Regions from separate parts of the Mus musculus genome. Here regions 2, 3 and 4 are each reported to be linked to region 1. Evidence: microRNA targets listed by miRTarBase, many of them from high-throughput screens and not tested one by one. Region 1 holds a microRNA gene; each other region holds the end of a gene's coding sequence. Distances are between the middles of the regions.

Region 1 (8,306 bases):
GGCATGCACATCTCTGCCTCCCCCCAAAAATAAATGTAAAAAACAAAGAACAAACTTAAGAGATATTTGAAATACTCCATTTTTTTAGAGCACTCAACTGCCTAAAAACTTCATGGTACTTTAATTAGAAATATCAGCATGAGTTATTTTTAATGCCTCCCATGTTGCTATACTTAACATTTTCAATATTTTTTTAAATTAAAGCTTAAGAGTATTTTCCCAATGGGAAGCAGTTTATATGACTTTTAAGGAGCACTGATATTTGAATACAAATGCACATAGATGAATCTTCAACAACCAAGAGCGGTGCTCCATTTACCTTTTAAATTTAGTCCCATTTCAAATTTAAAGCAGTTGCCCATTAGAGATAGATGTCTTCCCGAACAATTTGAGTGGCCAATCCCAGCTCATTTGGGAGGATCCCTTTCAACTGGCTGCATCTGAACATTTGCCAGCATCTGGGCCAGTTTCACTCAGATTCCTGTCACGGTCTTAAGTTAATTCATCCAGATGCACGCTTATAAGTGCATCCCTGCACTCACCTCCAGCTTGCTGCCCACCTCTTAGTCTGAGAAATCTGAATTTCAAGATCTGCCACTAACAGCCCTTCACCTTAGGGTATGGCTGTCATTTCTGGGGTCGCTAGCCCATTTCTCTTCCAGGCTTTGCCCCATTGGTCACAGTTCTAAAGCTGAGCTGCAGACACTGACCTCCTGGCTTCTGTTAACTTGCTGCACGACATGGTGATATTAGCCACCTCCATGCATCTCAGGTTATTTTAGAATGATGCTGGAGAGGTGGCTCAGTGGTTGAAAGCACTGACTACTCTTTCAGAGGACCCGGGTTTGATTCTCAGCACCCATAGACTGACCTATAACTGTGTAACTCCAGTTCCAGGTAATTCATGTCCTCCTTTGGCCTCCAGTACTATACCTACACACACACACACACACACACACACACACACACACACACACACACACACATACACACACTCACACACACACACACACACACACACACACACACATACACACACTCACACACACACTCACACACACACACACACACACACACACACACACTCACACACATACACACACACACTCACACACACACATACACACACACACACACACATACACACACTCACACACATACACACACACACATACTCACACACACACACACACACACACACACACACACATACACACTCACACACACACACACACACACACACACACACATACACACACTCACACACACACTCACACACACACACACACACACACACACACACACACGAGACACAGACATGCATACATGCCCACATGCATGCAAAACACCTTCACACATAAAATAAAAATTAGCATTAGGACATGAAGAAGAACATGTCCAAGTCTCAGCTTACTGAACTCCCTGGCACCTTCTTAACATTCTACATAGTACATTCTAGTTTTCAGTGAAAGGTGCATCTAGATGTTTAAGGCAGATGTCCCGGAGATGTCCACTCCTTCCTTTGTCTCTTCATATATTCAGTTATGTGCATGCCATACCTCTGTCCAGTTCTCACACCTTTCCCTCGTCCTCCTACTGTATCCTTGGGAGTCCAAGCTTATGGCTTGATTGGACTCTGTGGCTGGGCATCCTGGCCAGTCCCTCCAGTGTGCCCACTATTTTTACAAGCAAACCCACATCTCAGATGGCATCAGTCACTATGACTTAAATGACAGCTCCCGATGGCCTGCAAAGCATGTTTCAGTGACCCCCTTCTCAAGACTTTACTTCTAGTTCATTCCAAGCCAGAATCCAACAGTCTGTTTTGTTTCCTAGCACAGAGCTTATTCCTGCTTGGGATACCACCTTCAGTTCCTTTCTCTGTCCATTCACATTCCACTCATCATACCAAGATCATTTCCAGTGCCTTCTGCTGTGTCCAACCTCTCCTGAGCAGCTCTCAGAACAAAAGATAACCTCTTCATTTCCCATATGCACCGCCATTACACCCTACTGCAAGTTCACGTCTCCTAGATTAGTAGTGAGCAGCGGGCCAGAAACTATTTTCTTCTTTCTCTGTACAACACTTAGAAGATACTTTTTCAATGTCTCCTTTAATTCCATTAAATATATCAAGTTTTCATGGTAGAAATCAGGTGTTAAATAAAATGCCTGCCTCCCAAAGACCCCCATCAATGTCAGAACTCTAGATCCTTGAAGGAGCTGTTTTGTGTTCCTTCACAGCAGAAACTCTGTACAAAGTAGGGGGTTTGATATTTGCAGAAGAGGAAAGGTAACTGTAAGATAAATAGCAAGCAAACGTATAGGGATAAAAGGGGATACTTAGCAAGGAGACTTCCACTCAACGTAAGTTGCAAAAGAAATCTTGTACACACTCCATCACCATGCAGGTAGCCAGAGAAATATCTACGAGCACCCTAGAAGCCAAAGCAAGGCAGCTTTGCCAACAAGTCACAGATCCTATGAAGCACGCGCAGGCCTCCACCCATCTGGTGCTTGTTCCAGAGTTCTCCCCACCTCCCACCACTCCCCTAAATCAATGTGCTAAAGACCAGTGGGAGAGAGTAAAGGCTCCCTAGAGAGGTGCCGAGGGTGGACAGCTTGATCCAACAAGCCAGGCTGCTGCGATGTTACAAGTGAGAACATTTAGTCCTGGGTGAAAAAAAAAAAAACCGAGAAAGAGACCAAGAGATGACAACTTGGGGAGACATTTGTTTTAAGAGAAAAGTTGTCAAAACACAAAGAGAAAATGAAAAGGGGGAGCCAGAGGAGGATTTGCAAAATAGAGGGCACGTGATTTACGAGACCCTCCCCAAAAAGGGCTGATACAAACTGAGGTAAGACAGGTCATGTTAAGTCGTGATATCTAAACTATGCAGAAAGTTGGATCAACTTCAAGAGCAGCTAGGAAGAGCAGGACACTCAGAATCTGCCTCTTTCCTTTCTTCTCAGAGAATGCGCCTCCCCAGGAAGGAAGCAGGTCTCCAGGCTGGAGGGAGGCAGTGCCATCCCAGCTAGACACGTCTCTGGTAAAAGTCCAGGGCTCAAGGCCAAGGCCACCCCTTCAGTCCTGGCTCCAAAGCCCACTTACTCCGTACAGCCCCAGAAATCTGGGTACAGAGAAGAGATTCTCTAAGGAGGGGGATCGTTTCCAGGACTAAGCATGTGTTACAGTCCCCAGAAATTGACCCCTAATATAATATTCAAAGAATTTCCCATAATGCCCACTCTGTGATAAACACTCACCAGAATGAATCTGCACAGGCAAGCTATGCCACTAACTGATCATGTCCATGCTGAGCAAGTCTGCTGATCACCCCAGGCTTTGGCTTTCTCAGCTGTGAAGTGGGAAGGATTCTACTGATAATCACGTGTGTCTCACAGGGTGCTGTGAAGTCCCTGGTCCCCAACCTTGATAGTACAAATTGAGTTTCTCATGTTTTACTCCAGACCAATTTCATCTGACTCTTTAGGGCTGGGGCCCAAGTATCAGCTGTCAATTAAAAAAAAAAAAAAAAAAAAGCAAAAACAAAACAGAAACTTTCCGGGGCTGAAGAGATTGCTCAGTGGTTAAGAGCACTGGCTGCTCTTCCAGAGGGCAAGTATTCAATGCCCAGCTTCCACATGGCAGATCACAACTCTGATTCCAGGGGATCTGACATTCTCACACATACCACACAAAATACTAATATACATAAAATAAAAATAAATAAATCATTCTTTAAAAAAAAAATCCTCCCAAAGATTAGACTAAGCTGCTTAAGTAGGGGACTGTTGCACCACTCCAACATGACAAGGTTGACTAAAGCCAGTACAAATCATGACAGGATCACGGCTCACATGAACTGGGGGTGGGGTGGTGGGGTGGTGGGGTGGGGGAGGGGTAGAACTATTCCAAGTTGGCTTAGGTGCATGAAGCATATCGCCCCCATTCCAGCAGAATGTAGAGCATTGGTTAGCTCCTTTGATGACAAGTGGAAATTGGAAATGCTCACACAGTCTAGCCTGGGTTTCTTTGCTCAGCAGACCAGCTTTGAGCATGGTACCTTTCCGAGACCACAAGCCCAGCCCATGACTAAGCCATTATCTTCAAACTCCCTTCTTAACCCAAAGGCCATCTTCAGAGAACCAGGACAGGAAATGTGAGCCCCACAATTGCACTGAAATGGAGAGAGAATGCAATTTCCAACTGGGGAGCTACCGCTGGCCTTTGTCTGGCCAGGAGCAGGTCACAGGGCAGGGGGTGCAGTGGGGGTCGGGTATTTGTGATGAAAGCAGAAGGCAGAGACTGCTTCAGGCAACATTTTCAGCCTGGTCTTGGGTTGAAAGCGATGCCTGAGCTGGCCTTTGACTCCCAGTTGGCAGCTTTGCCGCCGGGAGCTCTTACCTTACAACAGCTGTAATTTTCAGGTTTCTCCATCTGAATGCACAGAAACACTTTTCACACCAATTACCCTAACTTGGAGATTCCTGGGGTCAGACTTGTGCTCATCACCTGCAGACTCCTCTGAACTGATGTGAGCTCAGGCGAGCAGAATACAAGGCTCACCATGCAGCTCACATACTATGTAGAATTATCAGACATGCTGGAAACTAACTGGTAAGTTATGCCTCTTCTTTGAAACAAAGATTCGAGAGTATGAATCGAGAATCTATTTTATCTTTTAAAACTAGTTTAAAAATCCAGAAGCGCTAAGGGGTGATCTAATTGTACCTAATTCAATACTAGAGTCAAATGTCTTATACTACGTGTGAATTTTATGTTGTTTTGCCTTCATGGTAAACGTCCTGGAGAGGTCAGGGAGACACAGGATATACCTGAACATAAGAAAAGCAGTTTGCAGCAAGCCCATAGACAACACCAACTTAAACAGAGAGAAACTCAAAGCAATTCTACTAAAATCAGAAAGAAAACAGCGTCGTTCACTCTCCCCATACATATTCAATATAGTACTTGTAAGTCTGAGCCACAGCAAGAAAACTACTGAAGATGAGATTAGGGGGATAAAAATTAGAATAGAAGAAGTTAATATTAATAGTATATAAGTAAATAAATATATATTCTAACCAAATATATAGTATATAATTATTTATAGATGATATAATAGTATATAAATGAATATATATTATAATTAAATATATAGTATATATTTATTTGTAGATGATATAATAGTATATAAATGAATATATATTCTAATTAAATATATAGTACATATTTATTTGTAGATGATAGAATATTACATTATCAGTGACACTAAAACTTCCACCAGGAAACTCCTATAGCTAATAAACACTCTTAGCAAAGTAGCAAGATACAAAATTAACTCACAAAGTTAGTTGTTTTCCTATACACAAATGACAAACAGATTGAGAAAGAAATCAGGAACAGCATCCTTCCCAATAGCCTCAAAAAATATAAAATATCTTGAGGGTAATTCTAACCAAGTAAGTGAAAGACTTGGATGATAAAAACTTTAAGACCCTGAAGTAGGAAACTGACTACGGTATCAGAAGATGGAAAGACCTCCCATTCTTGGTACCAGCAGGTACTTTGCATACTACTAAAGAAGTGTGAATGCCAACCCAACTACAGACCCTTTGACCCACAATGATGTCCTTCCTGCAAAATACAGTAGGGAAACGCTGGCACAAAGATTACAGGAGTATGTTAACAATATCTGACTTGACTCCAGGCTCATTCCAGGTGATAGAACCCATACATGACACTGCTCAAGTGCCCAAGAACCGGAGACTAGATAGCCCAGGGACCTAGGGGTAAACAAAATACTACTGTTCACTATAGGAACATAGCAACAAAATGTCCTAACAGCATTCTGCTATATTCATAGATCAGTGTCTTGCTCAGTTGTCAACAGAGATGTTTCTTCCTGCTGTAGATGGGAACAAAGAGAGACCCGCAGCCAGACAGTATGCAGGGAGTGAGAGAGATTAGAATGTTCCCTCCTAATTGGATTGTCCCCATCAAATCCCTCCCCTCGGGGTTCAGGGAACCCTGTGGATGAGGAGGCAGAAAGAATAGAAGACCAGGAGGGATGGAGGACACCAGTAAATCACGGTCTTTTAAGTGCATCAGGACCAACTCAGAGACTGAGACAGGGCGCACAGTCCTTCCATATCCACATCGGATGGGGTACTAAAGCTGAAAAGAGAAGTAGACCCATGACCATCCCTAACCCTGAAAATACCTCCGAATGATAACCACTCGTAAATGAGAATTTAGGTTTTCTCTCAGGGAGGCTCTTGGGAAACGAGCTTCTCTCATGGATAGCGGACGCTTAACAGTAAACGAACTCAAACGTACAGCTTTGGAGTTTCCAACTCTCATAATGCCAGATGGGAGGCTTTTTTCTTATTTATTTTTTTACCCTACAGAACTTTTATACATATATACACATATATACATACATATATATCTTCCTGTTTAATGGGATTCCTGAATGTGCAAACAAGTGGGTCTCTGCATCTCTCTCTGTCTCTCTGTCTCTCTGTCTCTCTGTCTCTCTGTCTCTCTCTCTCTCTCTCTTGTGCCCTCTTGAACCTTTTTTCCCTTCTGCTTGTTTGTTTTGTCCTATTCTGATTTGTTTGATTTTCTTTTATGTTATCATATTATTTTATTATTATCATCCCCTGAAGCCTGTTTGTTTTCTAACTAGAGACAGAAAGAGGGAAGAGGGGAGAGAAGCAGAGAGAAGGAAAGCCATAATCAGAACATACTGCATGAGAAAAATCTATTTTCAATGAAAGAAAACTATCTGTGGCGCTTTGTGTGCAACTTAGGGATATAAAATCTTGACTTGTAGCCAGAGAAATGGCTCGCAATAAACTAGCAGGGTAACCTTCAGCTACATACATCCAAGACACTTTCCTCACGGAAGTCTGTCTTTGAAACTAAACATGGAGGCCATTAAAAGGTGGATGAGTCTCTGCTGCATGGGTTAAACAAAGCTCTCAGGATTCATTAGTGTGTGTCTCCCACATATCCAGACTCCAGATTACTTTTTTTTTTTTTTTTGAGACTAAGTCTCTATACTGCCCTGGCTGTCCTTGAACTCACGATCCTCCTGCCTCCGCCTCCTGAGTGCTGAGATTGTAGATGGCCAGACAGAGAAACTTTACACAATTACAGTTACACAGTGTAATTGTAATTTACAATTATGTATATAATGATGGCGAGAATAAAGGAGAGGCATTTGTTACCCTTTGAATCATATGACATATGATTAACTGTACAGTGTTCTATGGGGACTCTTAAAACGATAACTACAGATCATCTGCTAAGGTTTTATACTGATTTTTTTAAGCATTTAGAAATTCAGCTATCGCTTCTCAGCCCTTTGGCTAAGATCAAATGTAGAAATTAATCTTTTCTCTTATTAGCCTAAAAATATTAATGCAAAGTAAGAAATAATTCCAAGATCACGGTGGCTGTGTCATTAATTTTATATGCACCTAGATCCTAAATGTGACTTCTTCTCAACTCCTAACTCTGCACTACCCAGAGAGGAGGAGTGCTGACTCTCTTGTCAAATTGAAAGCCAGTTGCTCTAAGCTCCATAAAGAACCCTGACACCTGCCTTCTCACGTAATGACGTCTCAGACCTCAAGTTCCTCCTCTAATTTATCCTGTCCCTCTTAAGTGCTTCGGGCCAACACAATGAAAAAGTGATTCTAGTGCTATAATTTTTTATTATCTGGTCAGGCTATCTACATACCATAATTCTCATTTGGAATTTTCTTTCATATGCTCACTGGTTTATGGTGCCAAATGAATTTTAGATTTGTTTTTAAAGCCATAGATTTTTTTTTTAACTCCCTTTACTTTCACAAGGAAAGGAGACCTTAAATCGCCCCAGTTGAATTTATCTAACCTCACCTTTGACGGGAGTTATTTTCGCAGACGCTTCATGGCCTAGTCACTCAAGGGAAGGGCCCTCCATTCTTTTAATGCACAGGTACGGAGATTACAGCAGCAAGCCAGACATCCCTACCTGGTCAGCAGGTCTACAGACCTGATCCTCATCACCATAAACCTCACCATGAGAGGGAGCCACGGAGGGGGAAGGGACTCAGTGTGGTTCAAATGTGAAGGGAGGCTCATGTGTTTAAACACTCAGTTACCAGCCGGTGGCGCTGTTTGGCGATTGTTGTTCCTTCAAGAGGTAGGAGTTTTACTGGAGGAAGTGAGTCACCAGGTAAGGCTTTTGTAACCAGCCCACTTCCTGTCTGCTCTCTGCTCACTGAGCGCCCTCCCCCGACACCGTGCC
Region 2 (8,306 bases), not on the chromosome of region 1:
TGGGCCTGACTATTGGCACTACAGTGACATTTTTATACTTTAACCTAGTTTCCTGTATACAGCATACACCCCAAAAGAGAGGTAAATTTGTAGGCCATATAAGTCTAAATAGTTGCTAGAAAGGAAACTTTGAAACTTGTTGTCTTTTCCTTGAATTTTTTTTTCAAAGAGTCCCAGAAGGTATGTGTTTGGAATCTGTTCTTTCCAGAGAACTATAGTGATTAAGTTATAATCTTTAATTCAGAAAAACAAAACACTAACACTTTTATAGAAAAATGGCATATACTCAAATATTTATAGCTGTTTAGTAGCATTTTATAGATATGTATTCGGGTTCGTCTTCAATTTTAATTAAGGAAGGAGTGGGGCAGATGTGACTTCATTGTGGCACTCAGCTTATATTTGCTTGGCTTGTTCATAGTTGGTGACACCCTAATTCCTAGCATGATAAATAGTCCCCTTTGTGCTTGACATTGTTAACCTTGAGTTGTTTTGAGAAATATGTGCTTTTTTATTTAAATATAATTCAAGTAAGCTTGTGTATGGCTAAGTTCTCATTTTGTTTTGTTTTTGTTTTTGTCTTCTTAGGGAAAAAAAATCCTACAAAATGGCTATTAAATTTGTAGCCAGTAACATTGAGATTTTGTTAGTTTTTCTTTGAACGTGTACCTCTCGATTAGAGTACGTGGTTTCGTTGTTCTGTAGTGTCCTACTAAAATATTCATTTTTTTACAGTGTATTGCAAGTTCCACTGCATTACATGCAAATTCGATTCACTCATACCTAGCTGTTTGTGGATTCAAACTCATAAGTGAACCATTACTGTGGCGAAGTTCCTGGCGTCCTGACATCTCTCTGTGTTTTGTGCTGTTTACAGATCCGAGTGGTGAATGCATTTCGTAGTTCTTTATACGAAGGGTTAGAGAAGCCAGAATCAAGAAGTTCAATCCACAACTTTATGACACACCCTGAGTTTAGGATAGAAGATTCAGAGCCGCACATCCCCCTTATTGATGACACTGATGCTGAAGACGACGCCCCAACAAAACGCAACTCCAGCCCTCCGCCCTCTCCTAACAAAAATAACAATGCTGTTGACAGCGGAATTCACCTTACAATAGAAATGAACAAGTCTGCTACCTCTTCATCCCCAGGAAGCCCACTACATAGTTTGGAAACATCACTCTGATTGTAAGATGAATGGTAACACACTAGCTGCATTGTAAAGAAACAAATCGAAACTGAGTCTTTTCACATATTGTGACGGACAAGATAGTATTCTTGTCTCTGGACTTCAACAGAAGACACACTTGTACGAATGTAGATTTATTTTTTTAAAAAAAACAAAAGCAAAGCTTTCTGCCAGACTGAGGGTGCTTTTTTGGGGTGTGGGAGAAACGAACTGACAGATGAACAGCGGTGACTCGGCAGGAGTGGCCTGTGGGTCGTCAGTGGTACCTAACGTTGTCCTGACTAGCAGAGCTGTGGTTTATCTCAGTTCTTGATGGGAGGGAGGGAGGAGTGACGCTGGGTGAGACAGAGAGCCCTGGATCATTGAGTGAATACTTTAATTTCTGCTGTTGGCTGTTAATAATTTGGATTATTTATGTTTATAAATGATACAGATCTGTTTACAAGGTTTGTAGATACTTTTTTTGTTCTTCATAGACGGGAAGCTTCCTTATAGTAATGCAGAGAAAAATTAGTCCTTCAAATACTGCTGTATTTTCAGGAAAAAAAAGGGGGGGGTGTTTCTATTGAAACTGTACTAAATTTTTGCCTACAATTTATCTTGTTACATATGTAGATAAATTGCTAATACTAATAGCCAAATAGATAACACTAATGCTTTGTTTAAAAAACAAAAAAGAAAAAAGAAAACAAGACAAAAAAAAAAACAACAAAAACCATGAGCAGTGGTGTTCTAATGAAGTTATGGCATCTGTCCTAATTAGTTTCTTAAATACATTTACTACTTAATGGTTTTGAAAGAACTGTTTAATTTTTAAATTTTTTGAAAACTTGCTAATAACCTTTTGTTCAGAATTTAGTAGATTGTTTATTGCGGGACATCAAATACACAATGAAAGATGCTTGAAATGCCTTTGTTATTTCAGGCCAATCAAATTAAACTATCAAAGTACAAGAGAAACCTTTAGTCTTTTTTTTTTTTTGTTTTTGTCTAAATATGTTAGTTCAGTGATGTCTTAGTGAACTGTGAGTGACTGCATTGATTTTTCTAATAACTGCGTAGAGACCTTCACACAGCATAGAGGGGGCTGTTGGCATTTTGAGAAAGGTTAATAGAGAGAGGCATACATCGTTTCCTTTTGTTTTTGAAACTTGTTTGTAAACATAAATAAATATGCCCTTTTATTAAATAAATACACAGCAATGGTTCTTCAGACAGCTCAGCTCCTTGGTTCTCTACGTGTGCCGCATTGGCCTGTCTCCTCTAACCACAACTAGAATAAATTTCAAGCTGGTGGCAGCCTCAGGAAGGGCTGTTTGAATCCTTTCTTGGTCACCCCATGGAGTCGAGCTGAGACAGCAGTTTTGCCACCTAGCACACCCTTCATAGAATCTACTTTTATCTAAAGTAAAGTAGTCTCGCCATTTTATACGAAGTAATGACCACAGTTGTCTGATGTATTTGTTTTTTATTAAGTGTCCCAGTCACAGATTAGATTAAAGGGATGGCGCATGAAGATTTGAGGAAGCGGCTAAACACGATCTCTGTAATAACCAACTCTATGCCGAACTCTATGCTCATCTCTGAGACAATTGAATTTCCAGGCTCTCTGCTTCTTTTCTGTCTACCTTCTTCCTTTGTCTGCCTCTCGTCTTGACCTTTTAGAAAGTGGTATTGTTTCAGGGCGCAGATCTCGCCAGTTAAACAATCCTCAGGCTGACCTAAAGTTTACGAGGACTACTACATCCAAGAATGCTGACCTAGCAAAGAAACATCTAGTTGATGGTGCTTGATATATATATATATTTTTTTTTTGGGCGGGTGGGAGGAATCTTTTTCTCCCCATCAGTTGCCTGCAGTAACTCTCTGCAAGTCTTAGAAACACATCGGCTCTGTCCCATCGATCACTGTACATTTTTACTCATCAGGTGTTTGTAGTTATTCATACTGTAAAAAGAGGTAGCATGATATGCTGGGACGCATATTTAGACCAGGAGCCCAAGGTGGACTCCTCGTCTTGAATTTGCCATTAACGTGCTGCATGATCTTGGGGCAGTGACTCACCCTGACGGAGGGTGGGGGACTCCTCTTGAAGAACCCTTTCAACTCTAAGAATTGACCCTATCCACTGAAGAAGCCTGTGAGGCATAGGGAATAGAGAAAGGGAAATGTTCTCAGCTTTCTTTTTTATTTTGGTTATGCTTAAATATGAATGTAATTACCAAGAGAATGAGACCTGCATGTGCTCTGGAGGGTTTGTGTCTAGCTTTTCCGGTTTTTTTTTTTTTTTTCCAAAACTCAAGGCAATGGCTTTTTACCCCACCTCTAAATCCATAAGTGGGTCTTAGGACATCCGTGAAGTCATAATAGCAAAACACGCTCGGTGTGCGTTTCTCTCTTTGAGACACTGTAATTTCTACCAGAAATGTCCACAGCATTATGTAAGTAGGAAAAAAAAAAAAAAATACAAGCAAGCTGTTAAAGATCTTGGATCCCATTCTATAGTGTGTATACCTAAATCAACATCTGTAATTCACATTTTTCTCTTTTATTCTCTAACCAAAATCAGAAAGAAAAAAAAAACTTGTTTAATTTTGCATCCCAAATGTTTTTAATCTTTGTATATTTTTTAGACTCCCTTTTCTCCCCATCATTGCCTTTCCGTGGTTGTAAATAGTTGTCACACTCTGAGGATGAGTTACGTCTTGTCATCTTACAAATATGTGATATGGTAATTTTCATAACAGATTATCAGTTTTGAACCAAGAAAATGGTGATTTGTTTATAAGAGAAAAAAAAACAAAACAACAAAAAAAACCACCTGGCTTCATTTCTGTGAAATTGCTCTTTGAAACTTTCATTTCCACGTGTAAGCCAACTGGGATACTACCGTGATGGTGTTGATTTCTTTTAATGATGCTTACCATCTCTTTTAGCCACTGAGCCTTTTATTATTTGTCTATTTGTAAAGTTTATTTGTCTTAACTCATTTAATAAATATACTGTTTATCTGTTTCTGAATGGGGACTGAACTTTTTGACCCTTGGGATGATCTGAACACCATATTTTGGCATTCCTTTTTTCCTACCTGAGATTTTTGCTTTTAACCTACGTAATGCAGAGTCTATAAAATACTTGGAATGTTAGGATGGGTACGGGGACTCCGTGTTCTCATGCAGTTGCCTGGTTTCCCCTCTCTAAGGGAAGGGGGTGTAGTACCCCAGCTGCTAGAGTGTCAGCCCTCAGCCACAGCGTCCATTCTGCAGGCCAGGGAGGGCAGCGGTTTAGTTTAGTGTAGAACTTGTTAAGAACACTTTATTAAACAATCTGAACTTTTTAATAGCAATTGTCTTAACTCTGATGGAAAAATAATAGCAGTGAAACTTACACTTCAGTGGTTTCCATAGTCAATGATTGTCATAAATTCACAGACCAATGCCGAACCAGCAAGGTAATTCTGGATACCGTATTTTGATAGAATAAACTATTAAATGGTTGAATCATACAACAGGAAGGGTACTTTTCATCTTGTCAGATTGGGAACTTCTATATGTATTAACTGTCAAAATTGAGTTTTTAATATGTCCTATTTGTAAAGTTAAACTAAATAAGAAGCGGCACTTTCTTTAGCCTTTGTTTCTTGGCATTTTCCCTGCTTACCTTTAGAAACCTTGGTTTCTTGAACCTTTCAGTCACTAACCTGGGCTGCTCTCGAGCCCTGCCTGAAGTGCAGAGCACCATCCTTTTTCAATTATTCTTACACATATATGAGTATCTGTATTGCTAGACTCTTCTCTTGGTTAGGTGTCAATAAGAAAATTACTTTCATCCAAATAATTTATCAACAAAGTGGTAGCTTTTTCTTATAAACCCTTAATCCTATATACTTTTGCCATGAGAATGATTTCTTTTCCACTTTTCATATTTGTTCTTTAAAAAAAATTTTTTTTTAAATCTTATAGTCAGATACAGTACAAGCAGGCTGAGTCACTCTGTTTTCTCTGAGTTTGAATTGTCATTATTGAACAGTACATTCATGGCTCCAAAATAGGGGCTTATAGTTAATGTGTGTGTTTATACGGTGTTGGTGCCCGGCACAGTTTCCTTAAGCAACACTGCCCTATGAAAAAGCACTGTGCATTTCTGGATTTGGGTTCAGCTCAAAACTAAGCTTCTCTTAATTTAAATCAAAGGTTAAAGGTCATATAGTTTCCGGGGGTTCCCCCCCCACAATGTTAGCAATGGGGTTTTGGCCCATAAACTAGGAATTACGAAGTAATTTTCGGTATGCCAAACATTTTATATGGATTATGTCAATAATAACCCTGTGAACTTCCATTGTACTTATGGGAAAACTGAGGCTTAAAAAGCTTGGGAACACATGGTAGAAGTCAGCTTCACACTGAGACGGCATTGAAGAACCCCAGCTGCTAGCACTTAAGTCAAACAAGTATCCAAAAAAAAAAAAAAACAAAAAACCTCCAATGCATAAGCCTGGTGCTGCCATCCTTGCTGCTGCTCTTTTCTGATAACGGAGGCTTCCGAGATAACTTCTAAACAACAGCTCAAAGACTGAGGCAGAGTGGCACTGCCTAAGATGTAAGTAGCCCAAGCTCTCCTCACAGGTCAGAGGAAGCTAGGACAGAGACGTTCGTCACATACTTCAGTTAGAAGTTCTGAGCTGGGTGGTTTTGAAGTTCCATAGGTAGCATTAAAGGTCAGCACTTTTATTAATCATGTGGGATGAGAGTTTATCACTTTAATACGACGAGTACTCTTGTCTCTGTAAAGAAGAAAAACTGTAACTACAGAATGAATACACTACTTAGACACGCCTCACGCTTCTTTTGCTCTTCCTTATGTACCCTTTGAAATTTTCCTAGCTATATTTGAGATCCCATCTACCCCTCAACCCCCTTGAGTTTATTTTAGTGAGATATTTTGTGTAGCAACAGTATCTTCCTTGATAAAAACTCTTAATGCGTTAATATTCAGCTCACGCGACAGACACTTGCACATCAGATTTCAGTGAGTCAAGTCTAAGTGGGTCACAACCCTTTCTGATGGCCTCAGTCTTAGTATCATCTGCAGCCATGCAGTTTGTGAATGCTCCGTCCCTTTGGTTTGTAAAAACGAGACGCCGCTAGCTGACGTCCGTGGTCATTACGGTATCTTCATTGAGGTAAACTATACTAAAAGTCTTTCTCTCAATAAGACGCTTTGGAAATCACTAGTCTTTAGTCTGAGGCAGCATGTCTTAATGAATAGCTGGAGGGGGAGAAGAGGGAGAAGAAGTGGCCACTAAGACCTGAAGTGTGTGACATTCAAAATTCAGGTTCGGATCCTTTTCATAAGTCTGCTCCGAGGTGAACCCCCTGTGAGGCCAAGGGTCGCTGATGGTTTGTTTTCCTGCTGTAGAATTGAGGGAAGTAATTCTTCTCCATTTCTGAAGTGCAGTAGGGGCAAGGGCCGTCAAACAGTAGAGCCGATCTGATTCTAAGGTGTCGGATCCTGCCATGTCATCTTAGATCATTGTCTGGGCATTGGTCCCTGCCTTCCTTCCTGCTAAATGAGCTGCTAACTGCTTTGATGGGTTTGTTGTTCAAATCTCCTGCTCCGCTGGCATTCGCATTCAACAAATACTCGGTACCTATGAGGAGGAATTCCTGCCTCTCTGACCCTAAGAAACAGGATCAGATTGGGAGGTGCAGGGCAAGGGGGCTGGGTGGGTGAATCTGTATTCCATAGTGTGTTCACAGACACCCTCACAGGTGAGTAACTGGACCCGGGGAACCACCTGCTATGTTATCAGGAAGTACCTTTCATACAGGCTCTAGTAGGTTGGTGCTTGCCAAGTTAGAGGGCCAAAAGGGAATGCTCAGTGTAGCTGGAATGGGCTAGGCCAGTGGGAGAGTTTTCTACAAGCTTGAATAGAGCCAGGCAATGGTGGTGTGACCCTGTAATCCCAGCACTTGAAAGGCTGAAGCAGGCAGGTCTCTGTGAGTTCCGGGCCTGCCTAGATTACAGAGTGAGTTCCAGGCCAGCTAAAGGCTACACAGTGAAATCCTGTCTCAAAGGAGCGAACAAACGCTTGGATAGATAGATAGTGGGCAACCACTGAAGTTCAACCCTGGTGAGAACTAGGCTAATGAATAACATCCACTCTATTCAGTTTGGCCTTCTCTGTCTCTTTATCGTCCCCTTGGAAAGATCTGCATAGGCCCATTTTTCTTATTTTTGTTCATTCACACTTGCCCTCCCCATCCAGTTGGCACCAGGCTGGTTTATAAGCATCTCACGTCTTTTCCCATTTGCTTCATCCTGTGTGGATGTTTTCTCTTTGGATGACAGTGACTATTCTATTTGCTATTTTTCATTATGGAAACAAAAGATGGCCACTCTTAACTCTGAAGTCATAGGGTATCCTCCTAACTGCCTTTTTGGCTTCTTAAAAACACCCTTTGCACCTCTGGTCGTATTTATCTATGGCATGACCGCCATCTCTCATCTTTGCCTACTAACCTTTGTTGACTTCATCTTTGCCATGTAGTGGAGATGGCTCCCTCAGCCTATTCTGTCATTGACCTAGAGGCCTGGGAGGCTTTGCCACCTTGCTGAGCCTGAACTGCCTTCAACTTCATACCTCTTCCTAACTTTACGGTACACTCATAGTCTTGATAGAGATGGGAGTGCACTGGTCTCCTTGTTTCCTGACTGACACTCAAGCCAACCTTTTATTATCCTCAGGTCCATTCCCCATTGCATGTATTGCAAGTCTTTATATGTCCCGTCACGCCAGAATCCAAGCCCTCGTTTGCCTGACCAGGATCCATTCTGCGTTATTCTGTCTTAGCATTTTGCTGTCGGCCTCTGGTCTTCAAGTTTCAACAGACATCTGCTGCTCATTCTCACTGTGTTAGGCTTTAGTCCAAAGCAACATCTTTTAAATCTGTCTATATTAAACCATATTAAGGTTTGCAGCTCTGCTGAAACTACTGCTTTCCTGGGGCGGGGAGTGGGGGAGGCACAAGCGAGCAGGATCTACAAACAAGCCTGTGCCTGATTTAAAGATCTACCAAGCTGATGTTTAACCCAACCATTGATTAAAGACCAC
Region 3 (8,293 bases), not on the chromosome of region 1:
ACAGACCTGGAATCCCAGCTAGTCAAGAGGCTGAGGCAGGAGGACCACAGATTCAAAGCCTGTTGAAAAAACTTCAGTAAGATGTGTCTCAAAACATAAAAAGGGCTTATGATGAATGTAGTTCAGTAGTAGAGTACTTGACTGGTATGCTAGGAGCCTGGATTCAATCTACAGTGCTGGGTGAGTATAAGGGTGGGGTGAGCAAGGGGAAGAATTTTTAAAAATTGGCAAGGGAAATGAGAGAGAATTGCTCTGAGCAATGGGCAGGGTTTTCTGCAAGAGGAAGATGTTACTTTCTGTTCCCTAAGCTTCAACATTCATACTGAGTCACTCAGTCCCTGTATCTGCTTCCCTCTGGCCATGTGACAGAACCGAAAGAGCTTTCCAGGAAAGGTTGCCTGGGCATCAGGTTGCAGTGCACAAGTGGATAAATAATAGATCAGTTCAAATCTGTGCCTCTAAGGATCACTGCCAAGAGACCAGATCTTCACCTGCAGAAAAGCCTGAGCCCTGAGCTACTGAGTCAGGATGCTGCTAAGAGCTTTGCCCGTCTCTGGCACATCCTAGATTACAAACAACTCTACAGTCCTATTGCCCTTTTCTTAGTTATACACTGGCTTACCTCTTACACCTTCTCTTACCGAACTGGCCTCAAGTCTTCCAGGTGATTTCCTCATTCCTATTATCTCCAAACCAGTCTAGCCTCTTCTATTTTTTTTTTTTTTTTTTTTTTTTTTTTGTTGTTTTTGTTTTTCAAGACAGGGTTTCTCTGTGTAGCCCTGGCTGTCCTGGAACTCACTTTGTAGACCAGGCTGGCCTCGAACTCAGAAATCCGCCTGCCTCTGCCTCCCAAGTGCTGGGATTAAAGGCGTGCACCACCACGGCCAGCCCCATTCATTCATTATTTTATTTATTCAGTGCCTGGCCTGTACTTGTCCCTAAACTGTGCTAGGAACAGAGAGAGCCTTAAAGCACCTTCACTATTTATGTAGGCCTGGAAGATGGCTCAGCAGATCAAGGCAATTTGCAGAGCCTAAAGAACTGAGTCCCATAACTAGAACCCACATGGTAAGAGAACCAACTCCTAAAGGCTGCCTTGGGTTACTGTGGCATGTGTGCACACTCAAAAATATATGTAGTTTTAAAAATAAACAAACAAAAAATACTATTTTTAAAAAAAGTTTATGGAGGACATTATGAGAACATAGACATGAGCAGTAAGACAGACTGGAGCTAGAAATGGAAGAATCAGCAAACACTCCACGGGTCCCTATTGGGATAAAAGATGGAAGGACTAACCAATTAAGGGGACAGAAACAATATTTCAGAGAGTAGTCTCACCTTGGAACAGCCGTACTTATGTATGGAAGGGAAGGCTGACCGTGTAAGCCAGGAGCTGCCGACAAGCATGCTGTTGTATTTGATTCTTTACTAGTGTGTTGACTCAGTGTTAAGTGTCTTTGTGTAAGCCAGGCATGGTAGTGCAGACCTGTAATCTCAGAACCTAAGAGGCTGAGGCAAAGTCATCAGTGTGAGCCCAGCCAGGGCTATATAGCAAAACCTGGTTTTAGAAAATTGTGTTTATAAATAAACTAAGTTTAAATGAGCCAGGAAATGAGGCCAGAGGCCTATGTGGGATTACACTGTATCAAAGACAAACATTGTTCAGCTAAACACTAAACATCTTTCATTCAGAATGGCTACATAATGTGATCAGGCAGAGGCAAGTGGTCCAAGTCTGTAATTCCAGCAGGAGGAGACCTCATCTAAAAATAATCTAAGAGGGCCTCTTAGGCAACTGACAAAGGTAAGGCCTGTGGGAACTTGGGTGGAGAAGAACTTTGCATTAACGTGTCATAAACAAAACCATCCTGAATTATTATTTCTATAAACATTTGTAGCCTGCATTTTAATGCAGCAGGACTATGGCAGAGTGGTTAAGGGAATATGCCACAGAAATTTGTAGCCATATCTTCCAGCTGTAACTACTGCTGCCGTGCTGTGTCATCAGGACGAGTACCTTGGTCTAGTCCCTCCGCTTGGGAGACATGGGCAATGAGGCTCCGTCCAAGGTTCACATCCTATGCTGGCATCATCATGTGTCATACTGGGACTGATGACACTCACTCAGTTCTGATAAGACAGTCTACAGCACACATTCAGACTAAACTATCTGCAAAACAATTCTAGCCTTCCCCGTATGAAGGATGCCAAAGGACGCAGTCATGGCTTCTAGAGGTCTGAATAAGACCTCATGTGAGGTTTCATCTGTGATTATGTCCCCATCTCCACCCCAATGTCATTGGAAGCAGACAAACTGCCTACTTTAAAGCTTTCTTTCTGGCTAGGTGTGGTGGTAAACACTGTACCCTCAGCACTTGGGAAATAGAAGCAGATGATTCGCTCCAGATCATCTTTAGCTACACAAGGGATTCCAAGCCAGCCTGAGCTACATGCCAAAAATCACAAACAAATCATCTTGTTGGGTATTAAAAGGATTTGATATGCAGAGAATTCTATTTGACTAGTTGTAAGCCTCCACATTCTCTTTAGATTATAACTTTATTTATCTAAGTAGTATCTTCTTCTGACATGCTAACACAGAGCTCTGTAGTCTCCCAAACCCCTTAGGTATATCAGCACAAATTTTGTTCCATGTTTTAATTTTAGTGCTGATTGAAGGTTGCAAGTCAGATGACCAGACAGTGCACTTTAAGTAAATCTATTTTTATGGCCACACAAAAGCTAGGACTGAAAGGGAGACACTAGCAGCAGAAAGACCAAACAGCTGCTTCCTCACCCAGGAAGAGAAGACACATCGATCCTAGCACCCTCACCTGAGGCAACTAGATCCTCAGAATCTAGAGCAATGAGTAGCACACGGGCAGGAAGTCAGGGAGAGCTGGCTCAAAGCTGGGCGCAACTATATAAGTCAGGATGACCTCGGAGAGAATGTAATATTCAATTTCTGAATCTCTTTTGTTTGTTTTCTCTGTACACGTAGGTCTGCCTGCCTTGGATTTCTAAGCTCCTTAAGCAATAGCTCTCTGGGCTCTACTCACACAAAACACCTGGGGAGGTCTCCTGAAGCATTTCTCCCTAGAAGGCACAGGAACCCAGCCAAGTAAGTCATCCGAGTGCAAGCTGCGGGGAACAGGAGGTGCTGTCCCAAGCAGTAAAATGACGGTGACTGTTAGTGTGAAGAATGGAGAAATGCCACATGGGCCATTCTGTGAGTAAATGTGAAACACTGAACTTAAAAAAGGGGGTCAAAAGGTTGGCTTACGGTTTATCTTTAAGGCCAGGTATGGTAGGGCACACCTTTAGTCTCAGCATGTGAAAGGTGGAGCAACTAGATCTCTGAGTTCCAGGCCAGGCAGGGCCACATAAGGAGACTGTGACCAATCTACAACACTCTCCTATATCTACTCAGGGTTACTTATAACTTTACTCACCCGTCCTAGTGTCCTACCCTGTGAGAAGTGATGGAGTCAATTTGGTACATTCAGTTCCAGAGGACATAAGACGACAAACAATCCATTATGTTTATAAGGTATGAAAACCCGCCCCAGCTTTTTCCATTGGAATCTAAACTATGATAAAAGAAACAGACATCAGTAAGTTTGCAGTGAAATGTTGACTTTTATATTAAATGAGCACTGGACAGAATGGATTCTAGTCAGGAAGCCTTTGCCAAAGCATAGTCACAAGCTCCCTTGGGGAGGTTCAGTCAGCCTGCTGCAGTGGTCCCGGAGAGGAAGCTCACTGGCAAGCCCCCACTCATTGTTCCCACACAAGCTGCTCAGAGTCAGGAGCTGGCTGTGCTCCCCTTTCCTAAGTTTCTAGTTTCTTCATCACTGTAATAAATAGAAAACTGGCAATATTCACACACCTTAGCACAGACAGGTTTCAGACACAGCATACAACTGTTAAGTGATTAAATTGAAAATGCAAACAGAAATTGGGACTTTTTAAAACAATGAATTATAATTCTTTAAAGAACTGGCCATGAGCTAGCTAGTCAAGACTTATTTTGCTGGGTGAGGTTTTTGACAGAAGTATCAGGATTGGATAGAAGTCCTCAACAATCCTAGCAGACCTGACATGGTGGCCAGAGCACTGCCAATGGTAATCTACAATGCCAGGGCATCTCCAACCTGCTACAGTAGAGACATGGCGCAGAAGGACCGAGTTCAAGGGCATCCACAGCTCATGGTAAGACAGACTGTACTACACTGAGACCCTGTCTCAAGAGAAGAAAAATGTTGGGAAAGGAACAGAATAAGTCAAGCATGGTGAAATAGGCCTGTAATTCCAGTACTGGAGAGACAGAGACAGGAGGATCACCAAAGTTCAAGGACAGCCAGGGTACTGTAGACTCTGCCTAAGAACATCACCACCCCACCTACCAAAAAACCAAAACAAAGCAGTGTCTCTGCTGGCTGCCAGGCCCTTAGCCAATGGCAAAGTAGTTCTGTTCACGTCTTTAAAAACACACAAAGACTAACCAGTTTGTCACTGAAGCAATCTGGGATGTCAACCAAAGAAAAACTGACCAACAATTTTAACAATTTTACCCCTAAACCAGCACAAATAAACCTGGCAAGAAATGACAGTGGACTCCATATCTGCATGTTAGCAATAGGACAGAGTTTTATTTAAAAGGCTAGTGGTTCAAATACTATTGCTTGAAGAGCTCTGGTAGGTATAAAACGTAGTAACATCTGAGGTTTATACACATATGCAGGAGCTGACGGCCAGCTCACAGGACTAGTTCATCCTTGGTCAAGAGAAACTACAAGGGCATGCTACGGGAGTGACCGAATGGATTCACTTGGACCATACTCCCACTCTCCGAGGAACACACAAACACCTGGGTAAAAAATGCTCTTTTTACACACAAAATTCTGGCTTAATTAACTCTCCTTCCTAAAATGATAGCTCGGTTCAGAAAACAATCTGTCTTGAAAAACTCAAGAACTTGGACTACTAAAAAAATAAAAGGGAATTTTACTGTAGTAAACAATTTTAGTAAACACCGTGTATATTTTCCTGTTGCTAATGAAGACATGATACATTCATAACACTATGCCTTAAATTCCTACACAGATGCTCACCAGGAAAAAACCACCTCAACTTCTATCTTTCTCAGTCAGGTGCAGGTCTCAGCACAAACCAACAATAGCTCCTCTACCAGCCCTGATGGCTGCTCTGAAGGCAGAACATAAAAACCTAGATCATAGCTACCGAATGTAACCATTAAGCAAAATCTTTGCAGAGCACATTTAATGAATTACTTCAATCCCCAACCTGGTCCAGTTAAAATGTTTGTAGATCCAGTTTATACGGGTCCATAGGCATATTGGATGACCAATAATCTATTGTTCTCTCAAGTGGCAGTTTGTATAGCTCAAGCAAACCAGTAGGAATGTAAAGAGCTCTCTTAAAATCTTGATAAAGACATTAAATTATATGAGGAACCTTAAAAGATCAATGAGCTACCTCCATGGTAATACATGCATGCCTTTACTGTCAGTCTTCAGGAGTCCAGAGGCAGGCAGATCTCTGTGAGTTCAACACTAGCCTGGCCTACAATGTAAATTCCAGGCTAGGCAGAGCTACACTATGAGACCCTGTCTCAAAGACCAAAACAGGAACTTAGTTTACCTTTATTAAAATGGTAGAATAAAGATAGCAAAGCTAAAGCAGGTGTGGTGGCGCACGCCTTTAATTCCAGCGCTTGGGAGGCAGAGACAAGTGATCTCTAAATTGAAGGCCAGCCTGATTTACAGAGCTTCAGGCCAGTCAGGACTATACAGAGAAACCCTGTCTTGAAAAACAAAAACAAAAAAGGAAAAAAAATGATAAGGATAGTACATCTATTGTGAGAGCAGCTTCCCTGTTTCCCATGGAAAAAAAACTTTTTTTTTGCTGACAGAATTTAAGAATTAAAAAAAACAAGCAAGCAAGCAAACAGTGGCAGAGTACTTGCTTAGTATGTGCTAGGTCCTGGGTTTGATTCCAGTACTGTAAAATAGATCTATTTATATATAATATATATAAAACGAAAACAAACATATACACCTTAAGATAATATAAAACTTGAAAATAACATCAGGCATTATGGAATGGGAAACAATTCTGACCACCCCTACACCCAAAACAAAGAAAAACAACAGGTTGGGGGGGGAGGGGATGACAAGCAGAACTCTGGATGATGAACATTACACAGACCCTACATCACAGAACACCACACAGAATGAGTTATCCATCAGTAAGACCGTCCTGACGGCAGTGCATGTCCTAGATCAAAAATGAGTTAAAAGTTTGTAATGTAAATAACCCACCTGTGAGGAGATGAGGGGGAGGCAGAGGGAAGGCTGCATGCACGGGTCTATTACAGACATGATAATCAGCAGCAATAAAAACAATATCCCACAGTCCCTAGACCTTGTTTTCACTGCTTAAGATTGAGAGGAACAAACTCACTTGTAACTATAGCATCTCCCATATTGGAGTGACAAGCATGTTTAATCTGATGCTATGTGTTAATAAAAATACTGAGGATACATGAATCAAACAAAACAACACAACATACTAACTTATGAACCTTAAAACTGGACCAAAAATAAGTTTAAAGCCAAGTAGATGTGATAATTATCACACATGACATAATCCATAGAAAAAAGGGCCAAGAAAAGAATCTTCATATTGTACTCTTGCTTGATGTTGTCCTAGGGAAAAGTGATAATTCTACAAATGTGTCATAAACAACTAAAAAGTCCCCTTCTGGTTTCAAATGAATCTTCCTTGGCTAATTTTTCTCCTCTCAAACAAAACCTTTATATACAGGACCAATTTAAATCCCTCCTCCCCTTCAAACATACAAGCATCCAGGAACATTGTACAATGCAAAGTGCCTTAAGAAAGGATTCTGTAGTGCCAGTGGTCTAACTGATCTGAGGAAGCGGGATGCTGTAACACTGATGGGCCAGTCAAGCAATGGTGGTCTGCTTCTCCTCCGGTGTTTCCTCCAGCAACTGCATGATCAGTTCATGGAGGGGTTTGCAGATCTTTGCATAGCCCCCTCCTGTGAGATGAAGAAAATCAAACATGTCGTGGCAGGAGATGGCACCGTCCGAGTGCACGAAGCCCCCGTCTATATCAAGGAGCTGCACATTGGCAAGCTTCGGCAGGGAAACCTTGAGAAGCTGGTTCACCTTGGCATTCTTTTGTCTTAAAGGGTTGGGCTTCTCACCTCGAGGTAACAGACCCTGGGGCAGAGCATAGAAGAGCATTAACAGAAAGGGTTACTTGGTTTTCTTTACTTACTTATGACTTGAGCTTCCCAATTCCACTGAACTTCTACCTGCAGACCAATGCTCCTGGGGTCTCGTCAGCCTGTTCTAAAGCAGTGCATCACCTTCTCTTGTCCACAGTTATGTCAACTGTCATTCCAACATCCCAGGTCTCTCATCTCACACTTCATAGTTATTACAGGATGACTAAATATTTATATTCTAAATATTTCTCTAATCAACTTTTGTTTTCTGAAACGAGGTCTCATGAATCCTAGGCTGGTCTCACACTCACTAGATGCTAAGGATTATAGATATGTATCATCACATCTGGTTTCTATGGTACTGAGGGTGGAACCCAGGGCTTCACTGCATGCCAAGCAAGCACTATATCAACTGAGCCACATCCACAGCCTTCATCATCTTCTTCACCATGGTAACACAAAGTCTGGTCAGGAACTTATTGCCATTCATCCCAAAACCAGTATGTCCTCTTTCAATTCTTTCTCCATATGCCTTGTCAGAAGAATGTAGCTTAGATACACCTATCAATGCCAGAGAAATTACACTATAATACATTACAAGAAAGAGAACTGGAGACATTGGTATGGCACATGCCTATAATCCCAGCACTCCAGAGGCAGCAAACTCTTATATGTTCAAGGACAGACTGATCTACAGAGCTAGTTCCAGGACAGCCAAGACTACACAGAGAAACTGTCTCACAGTATAAAAAAAGAGAGAGAGAGTGAAGTGGAATCACAGCTGCAAAGCTGTCTTAATGAAACACATGAATTAAATAAATTACTCACCTGGTAAGATAAATTAATTTATCCTAAATTAATTTTAACTGGTAGATTAACAATCTAATACAATTTTCAGATAAATAAGATGGCTGTCTTTCTACTATGGTAAAGAGAAGTATCAGCTGGGCGTGGTGGTACACGCCTTTAATCCCAGCACTTGGGAGGCAGAGGCAGGCAGATTTCTGAATT
Region 4 (8,306 bases), 54 Mb from region 1:
CAAGCACATGGAGGCTCACAACCATCTGAGCAGCTACAGTGTACTCACATACATAAAATAAATAAATCTTTTTAAAAAAAACTTAATATATTTTACATATATGCTCTACCTGCATGTATACCAACATGCATGCCATAAGAGAACATCAGCTCCCATTACAGATGGTTGTGAGCATCATGAGGGTGCTGGGAATTGAACTCTGGGCCTCTGGAAGAGCAGCCAGTGTTCTTAACCACTTAGCCATCTCTCTAGCTTTTTGAACTCGGCACCTCTCAATCACTGAGCCATCTGTCAAGCCCAGTAACAAATTCTTAATTGCCTTTTAGGGACTTCATTTCCTTTCACACTCCTGTGCCATGTAAAACACATATAAATTTGTATGCCTTCTTCCTATTCAGCTACTGTATGCTAAATTAATTCCTGGGGGTCAAAGCAACAGAAGGGTACTTGCTCTTTTGAGGAACCCAGTTCAAGTCCCAGCACCTATACTGGGTGACTCACAGCTGCTTGTAAATATAGCCGTAGGGGGTCAGCTGCCTCTGGCTTCTGCACTAATTGTGGCAAACACATAAATAAAAATAATAACATTAAACCTTTGTAAAAAAGAAAAGTAATTTTTGAACCCAGCAGAGCCTCTTGACAGGATGAAGGTAAAGGAAGTCAAAATGTCCACAAAGACAACCTTTTGTGCTTGTCTATAACAAACTCACCTGAAAGCCCTCCAGCCCCTATATTTACAGAGAACTCACGTTGTGCTCTTGTTTTCTCTTCTGGGACAGTTAGTAAGAACAAAAGTTGATTCTCTGTCATATCTCCCCTGGTGCATTTCCTTTTTGTAAAAGCCTTTGAGTCACACAGTTATAATCAAGCCTTCATGCATCTGCAGTATAGTTGAGTATGTCAAGTACTATCATGATGCTGGAAATAGCAATGAATATATTGGGTAACAACTGCCTCATGCCAGGTAATGTGTGCGTGTTAACATATGAGGACAATGGATTTAAAAGGAATAAATCCTCTGGAAAGACAGATCAGGATGAGGAGAATGAAGGAGTGGTAGCTGCATTATCACAGTTACCAGGGTAGCCAGCATCCAAGGCTTTCTGTACTTTCTGAGACTTATGACCTTGGCAGTCCTGGGGAGCAGGGACTTCTAAGTTGCACAAGGCTGACCCATGAACCAACAGTATAGTACATGATAAAATGCAATTCCAGAGTGTAAGTGACATTCATTTAAAAAAGATGAAAACTCTTAACTTCAAAGGGATGAGACAGTTTCCTCTGGAACCAAAGGGGTAAGCATGGCCCAGGAACACAGTTGTAGCCTGTTGCGGCCGATAGCAGCTCCGCAACATGAACGGTTTGACTGAGAAGGCTACTCGAGCTGTAAGAGAGGAATCTAGACGGGGCGAAAGAAGAAACGGAGCTAAGACAAATTTATTTTGATCAAAGCTCAAATTTTATTGTTGGGACACTAGTTATGAAGGAAGGGGGAGGGGACCCGATTCCCGCCGAATAATCTCGGGTCCAGTAGAAAGGTGCACGTGTGTGGCTCCTCAGGTTCCAGCAGTGGGCGTGGCAGAACGAATGAGCAGGAAGCTCCACCCCGAGCAAGCAGGTTTCAGGCTGGGGGAGGGGAGACTACATCTCCTCCCTTTTATTAACAAAATTTAAAAAAAAGAAAAAGCTGGCCTGAGGGGGGAAAAATTATCTATGCTCAATAGTTCTGCCTGGAATCTAGGGCTAAAGAAAAAACTTGCTTCACTGGGATTCTTTAACTTTTCTTATGGTAAACTGTATCTGGCTTAAGACTGTCCTTTCTAGTAAACAACTAACTGAAAGGCCTGGAGCTGCAGACTCTGACTTTATAATGCTAATTAGTACTTGGTAGGTAACTTTTTAGTTGAATTTTAAGTAGGGCGTTGGAACTCAGGCTAAGTTTGACTGAACAATGTGAAAATAACACTAAGTTGATATTCCTCCGCATTTTTGGATGATAGGTGGGAAACAGGGAGAAGGAGTTCGACCGGCTCTTGTAGTAGCCTACCTCAGATTCATGTACTAATGTGCAATCAGTCTCATTGCAGTTTTGTATCGATAACAAAAGAAAATCATGAATTAAGACACTTTAAAAATACACTGGTGGAAACATTAGGTAGGTAGATAGATTAAAGGGACAGAGAAGACACCCCTTCTATGAGCCTCAGATGCTAGCTGATGCCATCCTTAGGTTTTGGTAGAAGGTAAGGTTTTGTTGAAGCAGTACATTCCAAAAGGAGTTATGTCAGTCACAGGATGCTAGGTCTGACCCTGAAGTGGTGAGGAATGGCTACTTAGGGGGCTAAAGATGGGCTGTTTAAGTAGGCTCTGGGTCTGCAGCATCGTGACCTCTGCACAGTCACAGACATTCCATCCAGTTCATCGGTTGTCACTAACTGGATGGGGACAGTGGAAGGTGCAGCCTCTTTCTGGGAACTTCATCAGTGATAAAGCATCTGCCCGGTCCATGTCAACACATCTATTGTGTCTGTTCAGCTCACGTTTGGGCAGTCATGTGGTTGAGACTATGAGTGTAGCTTCTCACATTCCTTCCAAAGACTGAGCCTCCTGCCCATAGCTGGCAGGTAGCTCTCAGCTGATCCAGCCATCAACTCAAAGGGCACAAAGCATGCCACTCTCAAATATGCCACTGAAAGTATAACAATGTAAAAACAGAATTCTAGGCCTTTAGGCCCAGGCTTGGGAATGTGGCCTTTGTAAAGGTATGCTAATCATAAAAGAGATAGCGACATTCCTCTACCCACCCGTTTCCTGGGTTCAAAGAGTGCTCATTCAAAGAAAGTCACCCAGAACCTGCAATGCAAATGTGCTATTGTTAGGGGCTCTTAGAAGCTGTCTTGAGAGTTAACAATTACCAGGTATTCCTTGTGACTCTTGTAACTTTACACTTCCTTGTGACTCTTAACTGGTATCTTTGGTATCTTCCAACAACGCCCTCCCCACTTCCTTGAGTTTCGGTTTCTTCCTTTAAATACCCCCTTATCCAGCTACTCGGAGCGCCACGGTCCTCTACCCCTGCGTGGTGTATGACCATGGGCCCGAGAGCGCTCTTAAATAAAAATCCTCTTGCAATTTGCAGCAAGACCCGTTTCTTGTGGGTGATTTTGGGGTGTCGCCTCTCCTGAGTCAGAACGTGGGGGAGTCCTCACGTTGTGGGTCTTTCACCACCTATCCTGGCGTTCTGAGAAAGCTGCTTAACAACAGCTGCAAGAAACACTTGCAACCTTCCTAAAAGAGAGATGAACCCCCAGCATGGGGGAGAGGGCATCCTTCCTGAACCACAGCTGAAAGAAATCTGTTGAACTACCCTTTCTCTTCCTAGTCATGTGGCCATGACTGAACTTCTTGCCTAATCTCCTTTTCCTCACAGACTCAATGGCTGTCTTGGTTACTGTAAAGAGACAATGACCTAGGCAACGCAGAAGAGGAACCATTTAATTGGGAGCTTGCTTAGAGGATTAGTCCATGATCATCATGGCAGGAAGCAGAGGCATGATGCTGGAGCAGTAGCTGAGAGCTTTACACCCAGCCCCAAGCCAACCCACAGTGGCACACCTCCTCCAAGGCCACACCACCTAATCCTTCCCAGACTGTGGGCCGAATATTCAAACTTGAGCCTTTGCGGGCCATTCTGCTCTAGATCACCACAGTGGCCTTTGTCCAACAACTCAGAATATCTTTCGTTTTCAGAGAAAATCTGCCAGGATTAAAGGTATGTGCAAGGACAATCCAGAGTTTAACTTCAGTCTCTGTGCTGTGTAAAGTATGTATTCAATAAATAGCTGTACTTTCCTCCTGTTCATGTCGAGTCCCATCACTCTGAGACAGCATGGGTGAAACTTTCTCTCCCATAGATAAATGAGACCACTTTGAAAGTAGACTCTTCAGTCCCAGTCAGCCTTTGGATGACTAATCCATCTGGCCAATTTGTTTCTCATGAAAGTCTTTTCTCACTCTGCCAGGTGAATCCTACTAGAGATCAAACTCAGATCATGAACTTGGTGGCAAGAGCCTTTAACAACTGAGCCATCTCATCAGCCCCAAACCTCGAATACTTAGTAAATTTTAATGTAGATCCTACAAAAGTCGAATAGAAAAATATATACCTCCATAAACTCAGGCTTGAAACTATAATCAGATGAATGACATCTCCAGTATTTCTCAAGTGTTACCAATGCTTGGGACTTTAATGTGCAGGCAGGATTCCCTTCTGATGGTCAGTCTGCCAAGCCTACCTCTAGTGACACACCTTCTCCAACATGGCCACACCTCCTAATCCTTCCCAAACAGTCCCACCAATTGGGGACCAAGCATGCAAGCATGCCTGGGATGTCGGGGTGGGGGGGTGTCACATCCAAACTACTACAGTTTCTATCTTCTAAGGGAGTCAGCCTTACTTAACATCTCCCCATCAGCTGCCTGATTTTTTCAGTCTGCTTTGTCCATCCATTTTGTTTTTTTTTTTTTAGGCAGAATCTGAGGCTGGCCTCAAACTTGTAGTAATCCTCCTGCCTCACTCCATGCCTCTACCAGGATTAAAGGTGTGTGCAAGCATAATCCAGAGTTTTAACTTTCAACTTTTTGTTGCTGTAATTGTTTTGGAGACAGTCTACATACCCTTGGCTGACCTGGAATTCATTATATATACTAGGCTGGCCTCAAACTTACAGAGATCTGTCTGCCTCTACCTCCTAAATACTGGCATCTCATTCTTATATCATGGAAACTAGTAATGAATTATCTTATAGAAACAGAAATTCTCTCCAATCACCCTTGCATTGGTAACATTTTTTTTAAAGGATTTATTTACTTATTTTATGTGAGTACACTGTAGCTGTCTGCAGACACACCAGAAGAGGGCATCAGAGCCTATTACAGATGCTTGTGAGCCACCATGTAGTTGCTGGGAATTGGACTCAGGACCTCTGGAAGAGCAGTCAGTGCTCTTAACTGCTGTCATCTCTCCAGCTCGGTAACATACATACATACATACATACATACATACATCTTTACAGTCAATAATAAAATAAGACAAAGTATTCCTATTATATACATACTTTACTGGATTATTTATCAAACTAGTATCTCCAGCTATGTGAAAAATGTCCTGACTTCACAAAGGGGTTTCGGGGGGGATACCTGTAAAACTCAAAACAAAAGTTGTGTGTGTGTGTGTTTAAAACTGCACTGCTGCTGGGCGTAGTGGCACACGCCTTTAATCCCAGCACTCGGGAGGCAGAGGCAGGCGGATTTCTGAGTTCGAGGCCAGCCTGGTCTACAAAGTGAGTTCCAGGGCAGCCAGGGCTACACAGAGAAACCCTGCCTTGAAAAACAAACAAACAAACAAACAAACAAACAAAACAAACAAACCAAAACTGCACTGCTTACTTTGCTATAGAAAGGGTGTCTTGGTGCCAGGACATTAAAATAAGGACAAAGAATTAACCACACAATGAACCAATTCTAAAATGATCTCTTCATTTTTAATTTCTTGAAAGGCAAGTTCATAGCACACTCCAAGCAATGGTTTGAGAAAGAATATGTGAAGAAAGCAAACAAAGTTTTAAATGATTGTTTCTAATGACTTTTCTGCAATTTGTGTCCAGCCAATAATTTCTCATCATTTAAATCTTTGTGTGGAGCAGCAAACATAAGTGGGATGAGCCACCTAAATTCACTCCTCTGAAATGCAATTAAAGCAGTAGAACAGAAACAAAAATAAATAGTCGAGAAAGAACATATTTGGCAATTTAAAATAATGTTAAAATTTTTCAACTATAAATTACATTTACTCTTTATAACCAGACAGAAAGTGAAGCTGGTTAGTGGATCCAATGTAACTCCCGGAACTGGGGTAATGAGGTGAGAGCAAGCAAGCACTGGTCTTCAGAACAAGGCTCACCTTCTCAGGCCGAGTCCAGCCAGTGTGACGCTGGCAGAGGCCCACAGCCGAGTTAGCCGGTCAATTCAGTACTTGAGCTGTTCAGGCTGTGTCTTCCACTTACTGAACAGCTCCACTTACTTTGTTCTAGTTCTCTCCAAATGATTAGCAATCAATATGTGAACAATTTGGGGAAACGTAAACGGAAATGTTTCACTGCCTTCTTAAAATGTAGCAGATCCCATTCTTACCTTCTGCCCTTCCAGATACTTTGTATTCTCATTATAAATGTAAATAACCAACCATTTAACCTAATGAAGAAAACCTGAAAGTTAAGTTTTAAAATGTAGTTAAGAAATCCTTTTATATTTATCTTTCAGAAACCTGTCACCTCTCCTGGCTATGAGACGGAAATGTAGAATTCCACACATCTACGGTGTACCAATAAAATGCTTATGTCCATTTCCACCATCCACTGAGGCCAAGTGCCCATTTCTAGTACCCACTGGGGTCTCCACGCTCACGGTCAAACAGCTAGGAAGGGCTAATTTAAAACAGCAACATCCACCCAAAGACGCAAGGGAAAGCAGGAGGCGAGCGGAATGGAGCAGAGCGCAGCCATCGAGCCTCCCCTGCAAACACCTCAGTCCCCACCTCCCACATTTGGAAACACTGCCTATGTGAAAATCCTCATCTAGACACTTCAGATCATGAGTTGTATAAAATCCAGACTCCTGTGGCTACACATCTATACCTGTTAAAGAATTATATTATCCTTTTTGTAAGATGAGAGGTAGTGACATTTTATTCTTTCAATGCCGAGTTAAAAATTGCACACATCTGGCACGTGGGTCACAAGTGAGAAGCCCAGAAGCAGCACTGTCCACTCCTGCTTTGGTATGTCAGGTCACCTCCACTCGCTGGCTATGGCAGCTGCCGTCCGTCACCGCTGTACTAGTCGGCAGACAGCACAGGTGGGCTTCCATCATCTTTCAGAAACGAGGCTGCTTTCCTCCCGTTCTTCTGAATGTGATCTTCATTCATCTTCTCCAAAGCTTCTATCTACAGACCAAGCATGGAACCCTTCGTCAAATTTTGGCTTCTTAGGAACATATCTGACCAAAGTGGCATTTTTCCTCTCTAACCTCTGGTTAATGATGCTGGCCTTGAATCAGAATCTCTCTCACCTTCCTCTCCCCATACTCTGTTTGCATGTGACAGATGTGCACATATACATGTTTGCTTTTCTTTGCTTTTCAGTATAAAATAGATTTATTTAGGGAATGGGGGTAGGGAGGTGGTTAAGAAGATAGCAGAGGCAGAGAAAGGGGAAAAGGGAACAGGAAGAGAGGGGGAGCAAGAGGCAAGAGAGAGGCAAGAGCATAATTTGCTTTCACTTGATGATATTACCAAGGTCAATACTAGAATCTCATCAGTTTTGTGATGTCCTCCATAAAGCTCCCCGCCACAGTGTCCATCCCACCTGACTGAGCCACAGCTCTCTGCACTTCCTGCCTGCTCTTAGGCTCCCCCAGAGCTTGGCCAAGCTCAAGGTTCACATGAGAATTTCAGAATAGACGCTAACTACTCTCTGCAGTGTGGGTAAAACACTGGGGAAATGTCTTTCTTAAATGACATCCTTTCTCTATGTAGACCTGGATGGCCTGCAACTCTCTATGTAGATCAGGCTGGCCTCAAGCTCACAGAGCTCCATCCACCTCTAGGATTAAATGTGTGCCACCACAGCCAGCTGTTGCTTTTACGTTTTAGCTTTTGCCCAATCCTGAGGTAATACGAGATCTCTGAAGGATCTGGCTTTCTGCCTTTGTTCCCGCAGCTCAGTACTACGATGAAGGACTATCTCTGTTTGTGGCTACTTCTAGCTTTCTACCTTCAGCCAAGGGCAGGTGGGTTCTGTGAGTTCCTGTTGCGACATCACCCAGAGTGTTCCTCAGTCAACTTCCTCATTCTTCAGACTGGAGAACTAAAGCTAAGCGAGAATGTGTTATGACCCATCCTTTCTTCTTAGACCCCTGCCAGGGAACACACCATGTAGACTCATGCTGCCCTAAAACTCAAAGATCTGCCTGTCTCTGCCTCCTGAGTGCTGGGAGTCTTCTATTACTCATTTAAAGCAAAGTGTCACCTCTGTGAACAAGCATTTCGGTGTGTGTAGAGAAGCTGGAGGGTGTGAGGTGAGACCTGAGCTCCGGGCAGCTCCCCTGCAGCAGCGACAGGACAGAGAGCTGTGCACCACTCACCTCAGCTAAGAAATCAGCTTCATTGTCTGCCGAGATGTTCAGGCCAGAAACAGCATTGAACAGCTCCCGTTCATTGAGGGCTTCCGTTACTCCTCCTTTCTGGA

Evidence for each region. Region 1 holds the annotated microRNA mmu-miR-694 (CUGAAAAUGUUGCCUGAAG, at 4,313-4,331, opposite strand). A microRNA usually pairs through its seed, bases 2 to 8, with sites in the 3' UTR of a target mRNA and lowers its output. Matches are read on the target gene's strand: a 7mer-m8 pairs with bases 2 to 8, a 7mer-A1 pairs with bases 2 to 7 and ends in A, and an 8mer does both.
Region 2: miRTarBase lists Atp2b1 as a target of mmu-miR-694. Seed matches in the 3' UTR shown: 7mer-m8 at 1,725-1,731 and 7mer-m8 at 3,927-3,933.
Region 3: the mRNA of Pafah1b2 is a reported target of mmu-miR-694. Seed matches in the 3' UTR shown: 8mer at 6,103-6,110, 7mer-A1 at 5,832-5,838, 7mer-A1 at 4,965-4,971 and 8mer at 3,943-3,950.
Region 4: miRTarBase lists Riok3 as a target of mmu-miR-694. Seed matches in the 3' UTR shown: 7mer-m8 at 6,623-6,629 and 7mer-A1 at 5,385-5,391.

What each region holds. Positions count from the first base shown.
Region 1 is chr18:66,214,964-66,223,269 of GRCm38, forward strand. Mir694 (microRNA 694) reads right to left here and starts at 4,370; the gene lies at 4,301-4,370. All of the region lies in intron 2 of Ccbe1 (collagen and calcium binding EGF domains 1), which reads right to left.
Region 2 is chr10:99,021,931-99,030,236 of GRCm38, forward strand. Atp2b1 (ATPase, Ca++ transporting, plasma membrane 1) reads left to right here. Exons shown (of 21, transcript NM_026482.2): 21 at 878-4,213. The coding sequence ends at 1,189. Among named protein-coding and RNA genes, the nearest start is that of Poc1b, 81 kb to the right of the region's middle.
Region 3 is chr9:45,961,693-45,969,985 of GRCm38, forward strand. It overlaps Pafah1b2 (platelet-activating factor acetylhydrolase, isoform 1b, subunit 2), which reads right to left. Exons shown (of 6, transcript NM_008775.3): 6 at 3,619-7,274. The coding sequence ends at 6,996. Among named protein-coding and RNA genes, the nearest start is that of Sidt2, 11 kb to the left of the region's middle.
Region 4 is chr18:12,153,917-12,162,222 of GRCm38, reverse strand. It overlaps Riok3 (RIO kinase 3), which reads right to left. Exons shown (of 13, transcript NM_024182.4): 12 at 8,203-8,306; 13 at 4,856-7,003. The coding sequence ends at 6,896. Among named protein-coding and RNA genes, the nearest start is that of Rmc1, 11 kb to the left of the region's middle.